3 linked regions of the Ovis aries genome follow. The protein of the gene in region 1 binds, or shares a complex with, the protein of each later gene. Links are inferred from orthologs where the notes say so. Each region holds a gene or a part of one and is shown on either strand. Other genes may lie near its edges. The genes, in order: TXNL4A, AAR2 and PPIH.

Region 1 (5,224 bases):
AACCTACTTTATGACATGTTTAAGAAAGAGCCCCGGAAGTCATTCCTAAATAATTCCACGAATACATTTACCTTATATACAAATTAGAAGGTCTGACTATGAGATAGTATCACTGAGGTTTTGCATATTTTAAATTCTACTTGTATGAACTCTTTAAACATACAAGAATTAAACATCCCATTTATTCTTACACATAATGGGACTTGGTCACAGTGCTGGCAAAGTACACTCCCCCAAAATGGCAAGACAAAAATAGTCTTACCTTGAAGCTGTGCATAAAATCACCCACTAATCAGAAAACTTAATTTTTTAAATATTTATTTTTATTTACTTTGCTGCCACCAGGTCTTAGTTGTGGCATGTGGGATCTTCAGTTGTGGCACGTGGGATCTTTAGTTGTGGCACATGGGAGCTAGTTCCCTGACCAGGGATTGAATCTGGGCCCCCTGCTTTGGGAGCCTGGGGTCGGGGCCACTGGACCACAGGGAAGTCCTGGAACTTTATTTTGATAATAATTCTACCAAACTGCAAACATCTGCAAAATCTTTCAACGTATCTCTATGTTTTCAGTACAGCTCAAAACTAATCCAGCATGAGGTGGGGTTGGGGCTGCTGAAGCAGTCAGTCAATAAAACACATTCCAGGAGAATAGTATAATCAAGTCCAGCCTCAATGTTGGAATTTTACTCACTTTAAAACAGCTGGGGTATCCAAACAGAGCTCGTAACAAGATGAGGAAGATCTCCCATTATCTGCCATTTCTGCAGAGGGAGATAGACAGTTAAATTGTTCTTTATACTAAAACCTTAGATTTCAAAAATTCCTGTTGAACGTCCCCAAAAAGGGCTTCCAAAATTATAAACTCATATTCTGCCCTTACACTAAGCAGAAAATAGAACATTAACATTTGTGTAACGCATTTCAAGTTTGCATTTTTAAAGACTATACTATTACATAGTATTAGAAGTTTATTAAAATAGAAATCGGGATAAAAGAAAAAGAATCACTTAAAAGACTAGAGAAAAATACTCCAAGTGAGCCCAATTAAACTGTTCTTACCAACAGGTTCCATTCCAAAAAGAGCCACCTGCTAGCAGTATAGCAATCTGGTCTCTGACCGCTACATAGGGATTAGAAAAGAACAATTCTGGTAAAAGTCCCTAAAAACTTACACTGACACAAAATCTGTCTCCTAGCTAAGAGTATCTTGCTGAGTTTTGCTCAGATATGAACAGCAAACAACCCTCACGCCTCTGCCATTCTAGCCTCGTGCTGAGGGCCACCGGGTCTGGACATCCCCTGATGCTTACTTGTCACCTGCAAGGCAGAACCCAGAACACCCACCTAAGTTACATCAGCGTCCACACAGCAGTGATTCACTTACTGAAACAGGGTCTTCATCCATCATCACTGACTTCTGCAGTCTCTGCCCTTAACCACTGTGGCTCAAGTCATGGGGAAATGACTTCTGGGCACCACCTCACTCCTGACCTCGGACCTGACAGGGAGGACCCAATTGGAAGAACCCTGCTCTCCTGAGTTCCCCAGGCATCTCTTCAAGCTCCCTCAACACCTTTCTGTCCAAGAGGAAGAGGAGGGTAAGGTTATCACCACAGACTCCTGCTCTGACTTGGATCTCCTTGAAGGGATTCAGAATTCCTGGGGGAGCTTCTGGATCTCATCTCAGATCTCCAGGATCAGACTCTCTGAGATGCACTTTCGGTGACAGACACAGAAAGATAGTCCCTAATGTTCAGAGTGCCATCACCCCTACCTCACTCTGCCTGTCCTACCAAAGAGGAGACAGTGAAAATTACTGATGGCAGGTCAGACTACTTTTCAATTCCTAAATACAAACTATATCCTTACACCTGTTACTCTTTACTCAAAGGAGTTATTTTAATCCAGCCCATACTAGCATATCTTACTCCTGTGAAATAAATGATGGCTTCAATGTTTCCCTTATTTTTATACTCTTTAATAAAATGAATAACCTCTCAAATTAACATTGAATATTAAACTTTTTATTAATACCCTAATATTTTTGCCTCTTGCCCTATTACTACAGTTGCAAAAATCTAAATCAAATTTACCTTAAAATACCCATGAGACAATTACAGAAAGAGAATTAAGCCCTAGTTACTCAACAGTACCCTACAATTGCTCTTTATTGTCAGCAAAGGGCCACAGACAACCCCCTGTACTAAATTTAAGGATTAGGAAAACTAGTTCTAACATTACAGTTCTACCTTTTCCCAGTGTTTCCTACACTGGTATCACTCTAAGCTATAAATCAAGTCACTTACAAAGAGCACCCTGGGGTAAAGAAGGGACTCAAAGAAAAAGAAGGGAATTTACTATGTTGTTACCATAGATGTTCTGCTCAATACATACAACAAACAAACACGGTACCAAAAAAAAGTCAAGTTTTTTAAACTAAGCCATTCAAAGTAAGCTCCTACACTCAGCCAAATGCTGCAAACGTGTTTTGCTCCTGGCACTATAGATGTAAATTTTTGAAAACACCTATGAGTTAAAACCGCTATAAATTAATAAGAATCACTTCTTCAAGGAGAGACATCATGAACCTCTTAAAAATTTGAGAATCTATGGAAACTTCTGCCAGTAAGGATATAAGCTATTCTGACCAATTTCAGGGAGCCCATCCTCATACTCCAAGGTATGTCTGTACTTCTGTGAATCCTACTGCTTCTCTTTAACCGGTGAACTGGCTGTACTTTTAATTCTTACCGGCAAAACAACAGCAATCCGACAGGATGCAAACACCAAACCTGGCGGCAGGACGTGACGGGAGGTGTGGCTGCTTTACCTTTTCAGCAATGCTGTACAGAACCTCATCCATCTTCATGCAGGTAGGGTCCCAGTCGTGCCCAAATCGAATGACGACCACGCGGTCTTCTTCCGAAAGGATGGCCTGATCAACCTGCCAGCCATTGTGCAGGTGCGGGAGCATGTACGACATCTTGAGCCAATGGGTCTGCGGGGGAGTGGAGGGAAATCACCGGCCAGTTCCTCCCAGCCCCCCCATGGCACACCCACGGGACCCCCCGCCCCACGGAGCCTCACCACGGGGGCCCCACCCCACGGAGCCTCACCACGGAGCCCACGGAGCCTCACCACCGAGCCCACGGAGCCTCACCACGGAGCCCACGGAGCCTCACCACGGAGCCCACGGAGCCTCACCACGGGGGCCCCACCCCACGGAGCCTCACCACGGAGCCCACGGAGCCTCACCACGGAGCCCACGGAGCCCCCGGCTCACGGGGGCTCACCCCGAGGGGCAGTCGATGCGCCGCCCGCAGGGCCAGGCCCGCGTCTACCAAGTTCCGACCCCGATCCCGCCACAGGAACGCCACTGTCCCCCGGCCAAGAAACCAAGGCGAGGGGACCCCTGGAATCGCACACCCGCGCATCACTCGCCGCCCCCTTCCCACCGTCTCCAGCCGCGCACCCACCTCTGCCCACACCGGACCCTCCCGCTCAGCAGTCCTTCCGGGCGCGGAGCGCTCCCACAGGCCGAGAGCGCCGGCGAGTGAGCCCGCCCGCCCACAGAGCGTGAGCGCCGGCGAGTGCGTGCGCGCGCCCGCAGAGCGTGTGCGCCGGCCAGTGCGTGCGCGCGCCCGGGCCGGGCAGGGGCGTGGACTCCGCTCAGGTACTGGGGCTGAAGGTGGGTTTAGTGTCATGAGCGTCTTAGAGGCGGCGGCTGCTTCAGACCTACTGTGTCTCCAGTGAGTCGGCGTTCAAGTTTCCTCGGTGCGACTGGGACCAGGGAGTGAACGAAGAGGATAACCTCTCTGAAGAAGGGCTCGTCGCCGTTCACTCCCACACAGAGCCCCCTAATTATTTTGGAGGCCCTGCTTTCCAGACGCAAGCACAGTTGCTTTACTTGTGAAAAGCGGTTCATTAACAGAAGAGTACTGGTAAGACGCAAATGCCCCCCAAATAAGTTATTGAAATTAGTATTTCTAAACATTTTTTGTTGTTCAGTTGCTCAGTCGTGTCCGACTCTGCGACCCCATGAACCGCAGCATGCCAGGCCTCCCTGTCCATCACCAACTCCCGGAGTCCACCCAAACCCATGACTATTGTGTCGGTGATGCCATCCAACCATCTCATCCTCTGTCTTCCCCTTCTCCTGCCCTCAGTCTTTCCCAGCATCAGGGTCTTTTCAAATGAGTCAGCTCTCCGCATCAGTTGGCCAAAGTATTGGAGTTTCAGCTTCAGCATCAGTCCTTCCAATGAACACCCAGGACTGATCTCCTTTAGGATGGACTGGTTGGAACTCCTTGCAGTCCAAGGGACTCTCAAGAGTCTTCTCCAACACCACAGTTCAAAAGCATCAATTCTTCAGTGCTCAGCTTTCTTTATAGCCCAACTCTCACATCCATACATGACTAATGGAAAAACTGTAGCCTTGACTAGACTGACCTTTGTTGGCAAAGTAATGTCTCTGCTTTTTAAAATGCTGTCTAGGTTGGTCATATTGTTATCGTAAAATTTAAATAGTATCAGTTCAGTCGCTCAGTTGTGTCCGACTCTTTGCGACCCCATGAATCACAGCACGCCAGGCCTCCCTGTCCATCACCATCTCCTGGAGTTCACTCAGACTCACGTCCATTGAGTCCGTGATGCCATCCAGCCATCTCATCCTCTGTCGTCCCCTTTTCCTCCTGCTCCCAGTGCTTCCCAGCATCAGAGTCTTTTCCAATGAGTCAACTCTTCGCACGAGGTGGCCAAAGTACTGGAGTTTCAGCTTTACCATCAGTCCTTCCAAAGAACACCCAGGGCTGATCTCCTTTAGAATGGACTGGTTGGATCTCCTTGCAGTCCAAGGGATCTCAAGAGTCTTCTCCAACACCACAGTTCAAAAGCATCAATTCTTTGGCGCTCAGCTTTCTTCACAGTCCAACTCTCTCATCCATACATGACCACTGGAAAACCATAGCCTTGACTAGACAGACCTTAGTTGGCAAAGTAATGTCTCTGCTTTTCAATATGCTATCTGGGTTGGTCATAACTCTTCTTCCAAGGAGTAGGCGTCTTTTAATTTCATGGCTGCAATCATAAAAGTTACCATTTTAGCTATATAGTTCAGCGGCATTTAGTATGTTCATATCATTGTGCAGCATTACACTCCAGATACTTATTTCGTTTAAAAGCTTGTTGAGATATTATTCACATACCATTTGTGGCTCAGTGGGTA
Region 2 (5,327 bases), on another chromosome or scaffold:
CCTGGATCTGTGTGTCTGTCTCCCATAAATACAGGGTCAGTCTCTGAGCTGTTAAGGAATAGTGTGGCTGATTCATTTAGATCAGTGATTCTTAACACGGGGGTATGTGTGATTTTGTCACCCAGGGAACATTTAGCAATGTCTGGAAATACTTTTGGTTGTCACAACTGAGGGATGCTACTAACATATAGTGGGTAGAAACCAGGGATCCTGCTAAACATCCTACAACACAAGAGGACAGCTGCCCTACAACAAAGAATTATTTGGCTCCAAATCTCAATAGTATCAAGGTTGAGAAACCTGATTTGAACAGACATGCAACCCACCACGTGAGATTCCTGGGCTAACATCTACGATGCCTGTGCCCAGAGTTCAGTGCCCCAGAGTCTCAGAAGATGGTGAGTTCAGCTGGAACAGGGAGCTTGTCATGAAAACAGACCATGATGCTCAGCGCCCAAGACCAGGAATGGGGAGGGGAGGGAGGGAGCTGAGCTTCTTCGTGCAGGAAATGGAACTGACATGACAGGCTGAGATTGACACGCGTGACTGTGACTGATAGAGGCCATCTCTGGCTAATCCTGGGGCAGCTCGTTGTGATCCACCGTGACTGCAGGGCCCAGTCTAGTCTGCAACCCACTAAGAGATGAATTTTGACTGAGACAGATGGGCATGTCCAGCTGTCACTGAGGAATTGTGACAGGCAAGCTAAAGAGCAGCAGCACAGAGACAAGAAGAGCCAGTCACCAATGAGACCTTGGTTTGCATTCTAGCCTGGCCTCTCTCTGGCTGTGCAACTGCTCGGAGCCTCAGTTTTCTCTTCTGCATGTTGGGAATACCGAGTCTGCTTACTAGGGTTAGTGCAAGGATTAGATATCATATACCCAAGGGGCCTGCCCTCTGGATTTTGAATTTCCTTAGGCAGCCCTCAGAATCACATAAGCCAGTTCCTTGTAATAAAGCTCTTAAATACCTCCCGCTGGCTCTGCTTCTTTGATTGAACCCTGAGTGATACAACCACCCAGCACAGAGCTAGGCTCCAAAATAGAAGTCACTAATTAATAAAGAATCACTGTCATTAATTAAATGCATAATATTTAATAATTGAACTGGGTCTTTGTGTGGATTCCAGAAAAACAGCAGAGAACAAGACAGGTTCCCTGCCTCAAGGTGCATATACAGCCTACCTAAGATTTCATACTAGGCCTGCACTGCCAGAAGATATCGGGTGTTTATGGCAGGAAGGATCACTGTGGTGACTGCGGCTGTTAGACTGGGTCTTTCTGGCCTGGGTTTCTGAAGCTCTCCCCTACAGCTGAGTATGGTTGGAAGCAAGACCAGGTGATAAAGGGCCAACTGTGACACTCACTCTGATTGAGATCGGCTGACCAGGACTATGACTGAGCCTCTGACTGTGGCTACTGGACAGCTAGGACCTTGACCAGAACCTCAGAGACCACGACTGATTGAAACCGAAAAGCCGTGACTTGCGGATGTGTTTCTGTACCTGGATATAAAATGCATCGTTTGATGAAAGTTATTATCCACGGGTTCAAGAACTAAATCCAGCAACTCAAAGTAGCCAAAGGCAATGTTCCATGGGGCGGAACCTGCTGGCACGGGCCGTTTCTTCCGCGACCCAGGGACCCGCCCGGCCCCTTTCCCCTGTTGTTCCCCTCCGGCGCTATAGAGGGAGAACTTCCGGTGCGCTTCTGCGATCCCTGGACCTGGGCGAGACACCAGTCGGTGAGTGCAGCCTCCTGTCCTCTTTCAACTGTTCTGCTTTCGTTGTCTGTGTGGTCCGGCCACCCTTCTTTCCGGCTGGGGATCGCGGAGGGCCTGAACTCGGGCACCGAGCTGGGACTGTGGCGTCCCGGTCTTGAGCCGGTGGTGGGACCGACCTGCCTCTTTCAGGTGGGTTACTCTTATTGCTCCCCTTGTAACCGTCAGATACGCCGTCGCCAGAACTTTGTGGGGGCACCTGGGAAACTTCTTTTTTCCTAACTTTAGAACTTATGGGCTCGGAGGCCTTGGCTCCGCCTGACGTGGTTCTGGTGTTCTCTATCTTCGGTAAGGTCTTTTCCACGAACCGAGCCTTTGTTTCTCATCTACAACATGGATATCGTGCTTTTATTAAAAACAGATGTTTAGCCAGCGTCTAATATGTGCTAGAGGTACGAAAGACCCGCATCTCCTAGAGGTGACAGCCCTCTATTAATATTTGCGAACTTGCAGTTGTGATCAGTGAAATGGAAAGATAAAAAGCACTTTGAGAGCACATCACAGGAGATCTGACTTAGCCCCAGGTCGAGGAAGCGTTGCTGAGAAGGTAAATATTAAGCAGAGATCAGAAAAATGGTTTGAGACAGAGAGGAGGGAAGAGTTTTCTATCAGGGGAGCCTCTGTTTGAGGGTCTGAAAGAGTCAGTGTGGCTGCAGCAGAGCTTGGGGAGGAAGCATGATATGAAACAAGCTGGAGGAGTTTCCATGGACCAGGCCATACAGCCCTTGTAGGTCGCAGTGGGAATTTTGGTTTGCCAAGAGCCACGTGAGAAGTCTCTCAGAGGATGTTAAGTATGGGTGGTGACATGCTTAGACTGGCGGTTTGAGAAGGTCACTCCTGCTTTTGGATGGAGAAGGGATTGCAGGGACAATCTGGCTGAGGGACATGGTAGCTTAGATTAAGGATGTGGTGGAGAGAAGTGGGTAGATGTGATTCTCTGTATCTCAAGGCATCTTCTTTGTGCCAGGTCATTTGCCAGCTGTGGAAGATATAGTGAAGAGAATTACAATCTGCTGGAAGTAGAAAGAAAGAAGTGGCATTATCAAAGAGGAGCACACAGATGCCACTGGGAAAATGGCTAATTGATGAGCAGTTATTCTAAATGCAATAGCTGTTCATTTAATAAATATATTAAGTGCCTTTTGAACTCAAGATTGGGGATAGTAAGATGATATAAATTATTTAGAGCAGTGGCTTTCAGACTTTTTGCACTGTGACCTACAGTAACGCATACATTTTACATGGTGACCAAGAGTCCATACAGACACACAAAGCTTCAGAAAACAGTACTTCGCTTTACTTCTTAGGATGTACTCTGATTTTTTAAAATTTTGCCCTTTTATTTAAAAAAAAACAACAAACAATGTTGGTTGAGATCCTCTAAGTTGATCTTTTAACCCATTATCAGATTGTGACTTGCAGTTTGAAAAAAAATGTTGATTTAGAGTCATAATCATTTGTGTGGGTTTTGGGTAAAGACAATAAAATATGTCCTTTCCATATTGGGAAAAGTGTTGGTCTTCCTTTCCTCATGGTATTGTTTTGTTTGTTTAAATAAAATGAGTAAAAGGAATTAAACAGGCAGCTGGTTCTTCTGTTTGTGAAGTTTTGTGGTCTTGTTGATATGTCTGGCTGGATTGGAAGTGCCTGGAAGGCAGTAACTGTCTTCTCCATGATTATTTCTGTTCGTGTCTGGCAAAAATCCTGCAGGCTCTCCAAGGTTATTTGTTGAATTGAATAGGTAGGTGTCTTGGGACTAGAGAGTTAGACGTGTTCTGTTAAAATTAGTTCATGTTGGACCCATCCTTATAAATACAGAGACTATGTCTGTTTACAGAAGTCTTATCAGTGTGTCCTCTTGGGTAGTTCAGAGGTAGATAAAAATAAATGTTCTAAGGTCTTGGTCTTCTAAATACTGATCCGAGGCCAGCCATGCCACCTGGATCCATTTGGGTGAGCAGTCCAGAGGTGCTACTGACTGTGGACCCTTTGGAAAGTTGTTTCACTCCCTGGACTTTAGACTTCTTTATATATATATATATATTTTATATGTATATTTGTATATATGCAGGAGAAGAGGGTTGTGGTTGAAAAGCTCTCCACTGCCCAAACCTTTTGTGAATTTTATTTATTTTATTTTATTTTACTTTATTTTACGTTACAATACTCTTGTGAATTTTAGATGCTAAGCACCCCGTTTCCACTTTCTGTCCATTTCTGGGCCTCCGCTGAGGCTTATGGGAAACTGGGTGGATGCTTCTCGAATCTTCTAAGTTTTAGACAGAATTATAGTTTAAGACAGTTTAGGCACACTAATCCTTTAGAGTGGACCAACCAGGCATTCTCCACCTTCATCTTCTGTTATGAGAAGGAGATCTGAAGAGTGCACAGATCTGAAGGAGCTTCGGAGTGCACAGTGGGAAGAACGCTGGCCTGGAGGGCAGGGTACCCGGGTTCTAACTGGGTCCTTGTGTGGTCTTGAACATGTCTCTTTTCTTTAACTGATGTCTTTCCAGCTGTGCAGTGAGTGTTCTTGCTCATTAAACTCAGAAACAAAAACTGTCTTCTCTTTGAGTGTCGTTTTCTTTACCTGTGATGAAAATTAAGGTAGAAAATTATGTCACTGGAAAAGATCCTGATGCTGGGAAAGATTGAAGTCAGAGGAGAAGGGGACGACAGAGGATGAGATGGTTGGATGGCATCACTGACTCAATGGACATGAGTTTGAGCAAGCTCCAGAGTTGGTGATGGACAGGGAAGCCTAGCATGCTACAGTCTAAGGGGTTGCAGAGTCGGGCGCAACTGAATGACTGAACTGAATTGTTTCAGGGGTCTAACTCAGTATCTGGCACATAGAGAATGCTCAGCAAATGAAGAATCCTTCCCAAGGTTCTGATTAACTCTGACTTCTTTCTTTTTCAGCGGAATAGAAAAGTTTTCCTTTCGATCACTCACCCCTGGCCCCATGGCTGCCATGCAGATGGATCCTGAGCTTGCCCGGCGCCTCTTCTTTGAAGGGGCCACCGTGGTCATCCTGAATATGCCCAAGGGGACAGAGTTTGGCATTGACTACAACTCCTGGGAAGTGGGGCCCAAGTTCCGAGGTGTGAAGATGATCCCGCCAGGCATCCACTTCCTCCACTACAGCTCTGTGGACAAGGCCAATCCCAGGGAGGTGGGCCCTCGCATGGGCTTCTTCCTTAACCTGCAGCAGCGGGGGCTGAAAGTCCTACGCTGGGATGCGGCCCGGGAAGAGGTCGACCTGTCCCCAGCCCCAGAAGCTGAGGTGGAGGCCATGAGGGCCAACCTCCAGGAGCTGGACCAGTTCCTGGGACCTTACCCCTACGCCACGCTCAAGAAGTGGATCTCCCTCACCAGCTTCATCAGCGAGGCCACCGTGGAGAAGCTGCAGCCCGAGAGTCGGCAGATCTGTGCCTTCTCAGAGGTGCTGCCCGTGCTCTCCATGAAGCACACCAAGGACCGGGTGGGGCAGAATCTCCCGCGCTGCGGCACCGAGTGCAAGAGCTACCAGGAGGGCCTGGCCCGGC
Region 3 (5,389 bases), on another chromosome or scaffold:
AATGGATGTAGCCTGCCAGGCTCCTCTGTCCATGGGATTTCTTTAACTACACATAAATACACACATACATATAGAAGGAAGAGAAAACATGTTCCTTTCCAATTAAAAAAAAAAAAAAAACCTAGAGAAAAGATCAGTTAATACATCATTTTCTATAATCATACTATCTACTGTGCTCCAGAAGCCAGAGTAGGGAAAATGACCAAATTGATTTGCAGGACAAAAAACAGAAAGCAACTTAAATCTTCCATGATAGTGGACTGATCAAATAAATTCACTGTCTTTTCCTAAGGTAACAGTAAGGAGTTATTAGCAAGAATGTTTTGGAAGTAGATCGTGACAAGGGAAAACACAGTGACTGAGCATAAATTTTTAAAAGTTTAAGTCTGTTAAAAGTTATATTTGACATACAAATGTTCGCAACAATAAGATGGGCAATTGTAAAGTAAAATGCCAAGAGTATATTCCTTGAGACGATTTATTTTCATTGTTGTACTTTTGTTTTGCAACCAGAAAAAATACATTATCTTTTAAATTTTTAAAACACATTATTAAAACAAACAAACAAGCAAATATTCTTAGTCCAACTTTAGAAGGTCTCAAATTCTGCTTCTACGTCTTGCTCATTCTATTTTTTCTGCCCTAAGGGTGGCTCTGAGTAATTTCTTCTCCCTGACAGCCTTCTGGCTGACTAACTGCTAACTCTAGAGCAATTAGCAAGTGATCACATGTGCCTAGCAATGACCCATAAGAAGTTAGTCCTATCCCTGCTAAGACAATATAGCAGTATAGAAGCCTTTGGAAGAAAGAACACAGAGAATAGCATCTTAGCCCTTCTTACTTGCCAATAAAAAAGGATATGGTCACCCCAAGCCCTACTCTAATCAGTCGTGGCCAGGGGTTGCAAACTTAAATGCCTATAGGAGTATGTGACGTAAAGAAGGGAAGCCAGTGGTGGGAACTGTGGTGAAATAATAAGGACATACCTGTCTAAAGGGAGCTGTTACTTGACTCAACCAAATGTTGCTACATGAGAAACACAGGCCAAGTGCACCCCTACTTTTCAGTTGTAACAGAGAAAACAAAACTCCAGAACTTTCCGGAAAATTTCCCAGTTTTACAACATCATACAGATGATACAAAGCATATCTGTTTCGGATTCAGCCCCAAATCTGCCACTTTGTAAACTTATCTGGGTAGGAAAGATAGAAATCTTAAAAAAACTCCTAACAGTCAAACTAAATATACATGTAAAGGATAAAGAATGTCTCCCAGATCCAAGAAAACAGCAACATGACTAACCAAATGATATTAATAAGAAAGATCATGCACAGAAATGGGTGGGTATGGACAAACGTAGGTTTAAGAAAGCATAAATGTGGTTTATTCAGAACCCTGCAAGGTTGGGAAGCTTGAAATGGGGATGCATACAGTGGCAAGAAAAATCATGCTTAGCAATGAAGGATTAATTCAATGGGTTCTCCTAGTGAATAGGGAAAATATCCTTCCAGAACTCTCTGATTTCTTGCCCACTAATGAACTTGATTAAAAAAATAACAACTCACCTTCCGAGGCACTGGGATACCAGAAGTGAATGGGAAATCAGGGCATAAGCATTTAACTCACTGGAAAGGGACTTGCCCCCATTTAGAGAAAGTTAACTGTAACTGATTTCTAGCTAAATTCCATGTGCCCAGTTAATTTGGGTCTGTCATGGATCACCTATAGGTATGCTGGGAAAGTCAGTTCCCAGCCCTAAAAGACTGAGATTTGGAGTGAGTGACTCAATCAAAGTGCTAATATGTTATCTAGTGATGCAGCGAGTAGCAGCCATCACAGGATATTCCCATTCCCACCTCCTCCCCCAGCAAACTTGGCTACTGTTCTCAGTTCCCCGAGGAGCAGCTTCAATAACAACAACCAACAAAAACAAAACTTATAGGCCCTTAATAGGAAAGGAACAGTACTTACATTAACAAAATCTCCACCCTGAATCATGAAATCTTTTATGACCCTGAAACAGAGAACAAAGGATGCTGGGAGAAGATTGTGTGGTTTGGAATAACATTAATTTCAAAATATAATGTTTATCACTTCAGTCCTCAAATCAATGGTTGAGTTCACAAAAGCATCCCTTCTCAAGAACTAAGAATTATGCTATGGTTTTGTTTTCCTCTGAAGAGACTAATCCCCCAAGGAAGTAATTCTAAACCATACTAATAGTAATTTTAAAAGTCCCCCAGGATGGCTTGCCAAAGGCCTTACCTGTGGAAGGTGCTCCCCTTGTATCCTATCGGAACCCCATCTTTTCTATAAGCAAAAAGAAAGAGACTTGAAATGGTAAACAGGTAAACATAGGCCTTTCACGTTTACCATACAGTCGAGCCAGAGACACCCTTCTAAAGATGGTCGGGAGAAGAGAGACGAAGAAGGCAAATGAACTGAGGACAGACCCATAGTAATACCTTCTATTACTGTCACCAGTCATACAAGGCCTGCCGGTGATTCCCCAATACCCTCAACTGCAGCCTCAGGACAGCCCTCAGGAGCAAGCAGAGAAGTCAACCACGTCAGAGACTGACCTGAATTCTCCTGTGCAGAACTGCCTGAAAAGGAAAAGAGTGAACGATTCAGTCGCCATGGCATCACAACTCTGAGCGTCCCTAACCTCAGCGGGAAGGGGAACGTCGGCGCTAGCTAGCCCACCAACTGGCTGGTCAGACGTCCAGGCATACAGATTAACATAAACTGAAAAGGGGACGGTCAAGACTATTCAGAGAGATACCCAGAGAAGTCAGATCTCAAGGACGGTGAATGAACGGATAGAGGTAGGCAGAAGATTCCACAGACAGGCCCAGCTTCTCGTTTGGTTTATCCAGCAAAGAACATCATCTTACCTAAAATTCTCCGCCGTCTTAGGCACAACGTCTGCAAAGAGCTCAATCTTCATACGACCAACCTCCTGCAACCGGCGAGAGACGTTCAGAAAGCCCAGTCCAAGCCCGTGAAGGCCTCACCGAACAGGGAACCCTCGGGCCCCCATGCCGCTTGGTCTCTCCCACCTCCGCCTCCGTAGCCTACTCTTCCGTTCCACCCGGTCCCTCCACCAGCCGGGCGCTAGGATGCGCAAGACTCCTCCTCTTCCTACTCCCTCACCCCCGCCCCGCAGGTCGGTAGGTTCTGGTTCAATTTCACTTTTTGGCTTCCCGAGTTTGCTACACCTGAGGAGGTGATCTGCCTGCCAGACCGCGTGCACGTTCCCTTTGGCATCGGGCTGGCTGGCTGCCAAGACCTCACCTGGCCGCCAATGCTGACATCAAAGAATACCACGGGATTGACAGGGCTTGAATTTGCCACCGCCATGCCTCTGACCCGGAAGCAGAAGTCGGGAGCGCGGGGTTCCGGCGATCCTATGATCTTGCTCCGCCGGGAGGTGTTTATTTCCGGCGCAGGCGCAGGAAGAGCCGGGGGGGGGGGCGGTGCGGTGGGAGGCGGTCGGCCCCGCCCCCGGAAGCTCTCTGCCTTCGATGCCAAGCTGCGCGCTGCGTGGGTGGCCGGGGCTTCCTTCCGTTTTGACGAGTCGCAAGTTGTTACCTCACCTGAGTCTCCTTGAGCGCTGAGGCCGGAGGACATCCTCGGCTTTTTTTTCGCTCGAGGCCCACGGGCCTCTCATTCACTTGGATACAGTAAGTGCAGTACGGATGATTCTCGCTCAGGCTACGGGGCTTGGACTAGGCAGTCTTCAGGGTCTGATCAGCCTTTGCAGCCAAGACCGTCTGAACCATCATATGTGCGGCCTCTTACCCCTTTTCACTAGTCTGGAGGCCCGGAAGCAAAAACCGTGTTTATCCTCAGCGCTTTGAACAGCCTGGCATATAAGGCTTGTTCAGTATATTCAGCACTTTCATGAAGTCAGGCACTAGACTTTAATTCCAGTTCTCCCACAAGCTTCCGCTTTCATCATCTCCAAGTCACTTACTGCAGAGCAGCTAGAGCTTTTAAATGAATCTGCTTATAAATCACTCCCGGATTCCCTTATTTAGAATAAAATCCAGTTGCTACATAAAAGACCTACATTACATTATCTGGCCACCTACCTGGGACTCTAGCCTGTTCCTCTAGGTCACGGAGACTCGGATTCTATTTAGGGCCTGTTAACTGACTTTAATATTCTTCTAAATCTTCATGAGGGTGCGGAGTGGTCTTGTAGGTCAAGTCTCATCTCAGGTCATTAGTCAGGAACATTGCACCCAATCTAAAGTAGCCCTCTGTCACTCTTTTGGATAGATTACTGATTTTCTTCATGCCATTCACCATCCAAAATTATATGGTTTCCCCACCTCACCAGCTGCTTCACACTTGTTTAACTCCATGAAAATGAAGCTGGGTCCTTCGTAAAAACCGGGTGCCTTTGCAAAGCTTAGGAATAACCTATCTATAACGTTCCCTTTCTTGTCCACCTGTTTCCCTCAAGGTTGTTGAGTACCAAAGAAAAAGGCATTGAGACAGCCGGCCCTTGGCAGGACACTGCTGTGTATAAAACCCTTGCTTATGTACCTGATTCCTTGTTTGTAGAAAGACTTGACCCTCCTGGATCTTGTTCCAAAGAGCAGATCCAAATAGTTCCTAATGAGGGAATGCAAAAACAAAGGAAAAGCAGTCACAGAATGATAGTTCAGGGACTTCCCTGGTGGGTCAGTGGTTAAGACTATGCTTCCAGCACACATGGGTTTGCTCTCTGGTCAGGGAACTAAGATCCTGTCTGCTGCACAGCAATAAATAAATAAAATTTAGTTCACTTTGTTGTACACCTGAAACTAACAACATTGTTAATCAACTACAATTAAATTTAAAAAAATTGTATTTCAATGATAAAACAGAGCCTTAGTCCCTCCTCATGGGATATATGTAATAATCTGATACAGATCTTTGAGTGCTGCAGGAACTAAAGCCCTCACCCAGGTAGAGGATGGTAACTACCTTCTGAGAAGCCAGACTGGTGGGAACTAGAAGGTTGATGATTGAGATTCCTGGAATGTCACCCTGTTACCTCACCACCAACCAATCAGAATAAAGTCATACACCCTACAGTCATCAGCCCCAAATGATGCCTTTAAAAACTATTCCCTGAAAACTAATGGAAAGTTTGGGTCTTTCCAGCAGGAACCACCTGTTCTCGCATGGCTAATGCAATAAAACTTTCTTTCCTCCAAATTCTTTCTAATTTTTCTATTTGTTTGTTCTCACTGTTCTGCAGACACAGGGACTTGGGTTTGCCAACAAAAAGTGAGACTTTTCTCATCTGCCTTCACAGGTGTGTGCACTATTGAATGGCACATAGTAGGGATTCAATGAATTGAATGAATTGGGTAAAGCTTGGATTTAATAT

What was found.
Region 2: TXNL4A (region 1) and AAR2 share a complex: the UniProt entries of both Homo sapiens proteins name them as parts of the U5 snRNP complex. The link is inferred for Ovis aries from reciprocal best matches to the Homo sapiens genes TXNL4A and AAR2.
Region 3: TXNL4A (region 1) and PPIH share a complex: the UniProt entries of both Homo sapiens proteins name them as parts of the U4/U6-U5 tri-snRNP complex. The link is inferred for Ovis aries from reciprocal best matches to the Homo sapiens genes TXNL4A and PPIH.

The regions. Positions count from the first base shown.
Region 1 is NC_056076.1:700,973-706,196, reverse strand, and holds the start of TXNL4A (thioredoxin-like protein 4A), read right to left. Parts: upstream 3,556-5,224; 5' UTR 3,477-3,555; intron 2,999-3,476; 5' UTR 2,984-2,998; coding exon 2,831-2,983; coding exon of another isoform or gene 2,752-2,830; intron 1,121-2,751; exon of another isoform or gene 1,060-1,120; intron 762-1,059; coding exon of another isoform or gene 692-761; intron 1-691. UniProt on the Homo sapiens protein: Plays a role in pre-mRNA splicing as component of the U5 snRNP and U4/U6-U5 tri-snRNP complexes that are involved in spliceosome assembly, and as component of the precatalytic spliceosome (spliceosome B complex).
Region 2 is NC_056066.1:65,347,743-65,353,069, forward strand, and holds the start of AAR2 (protein AAR2 homolog), read left to right. Parts: upstream 1-1,689; 5' UTR 1,690-1,911; intron 1,912-4,701; 5' UTR 4,702-4,744; coding exon 4,745-5,327. UniProt on the Homo sapiens protein: Component of the U5 snRNP complex that is required for spliceosome assembly and for pre-mRNA splicing.
Region 3 is NC_056054.1:17,160,662-17,166,050, reverse strand, and holds the start of PPIH (peptidyl-prolyl cis-trans isomerase H), read right to left. Parts: upstream 3,388-5,389; 5' UTR 3,364-3,387; coding exon 3,298-3,363; exon of another isoform or gene 2,963-3,297; coding exon 2,898-2,962; intron 2,607-2,897; coding exon 2,583-2,606; exon of another isoform or gene 2,489-2,582; coding exon of another isoform or gene 2,466-2,488; intron 2,311-2,465; coding exon 2,266-2,310; intron 2,015-2,265; coding exon 1,972-2,014; intron 1-1,971. UniProt on the Homo sapiens protein: PPIase that catalyzes the cis-trans isomerization of proline imidic peptide bonds in oligopeptides and may therefore assist protein folding. Participates in pre-mRNA splicing.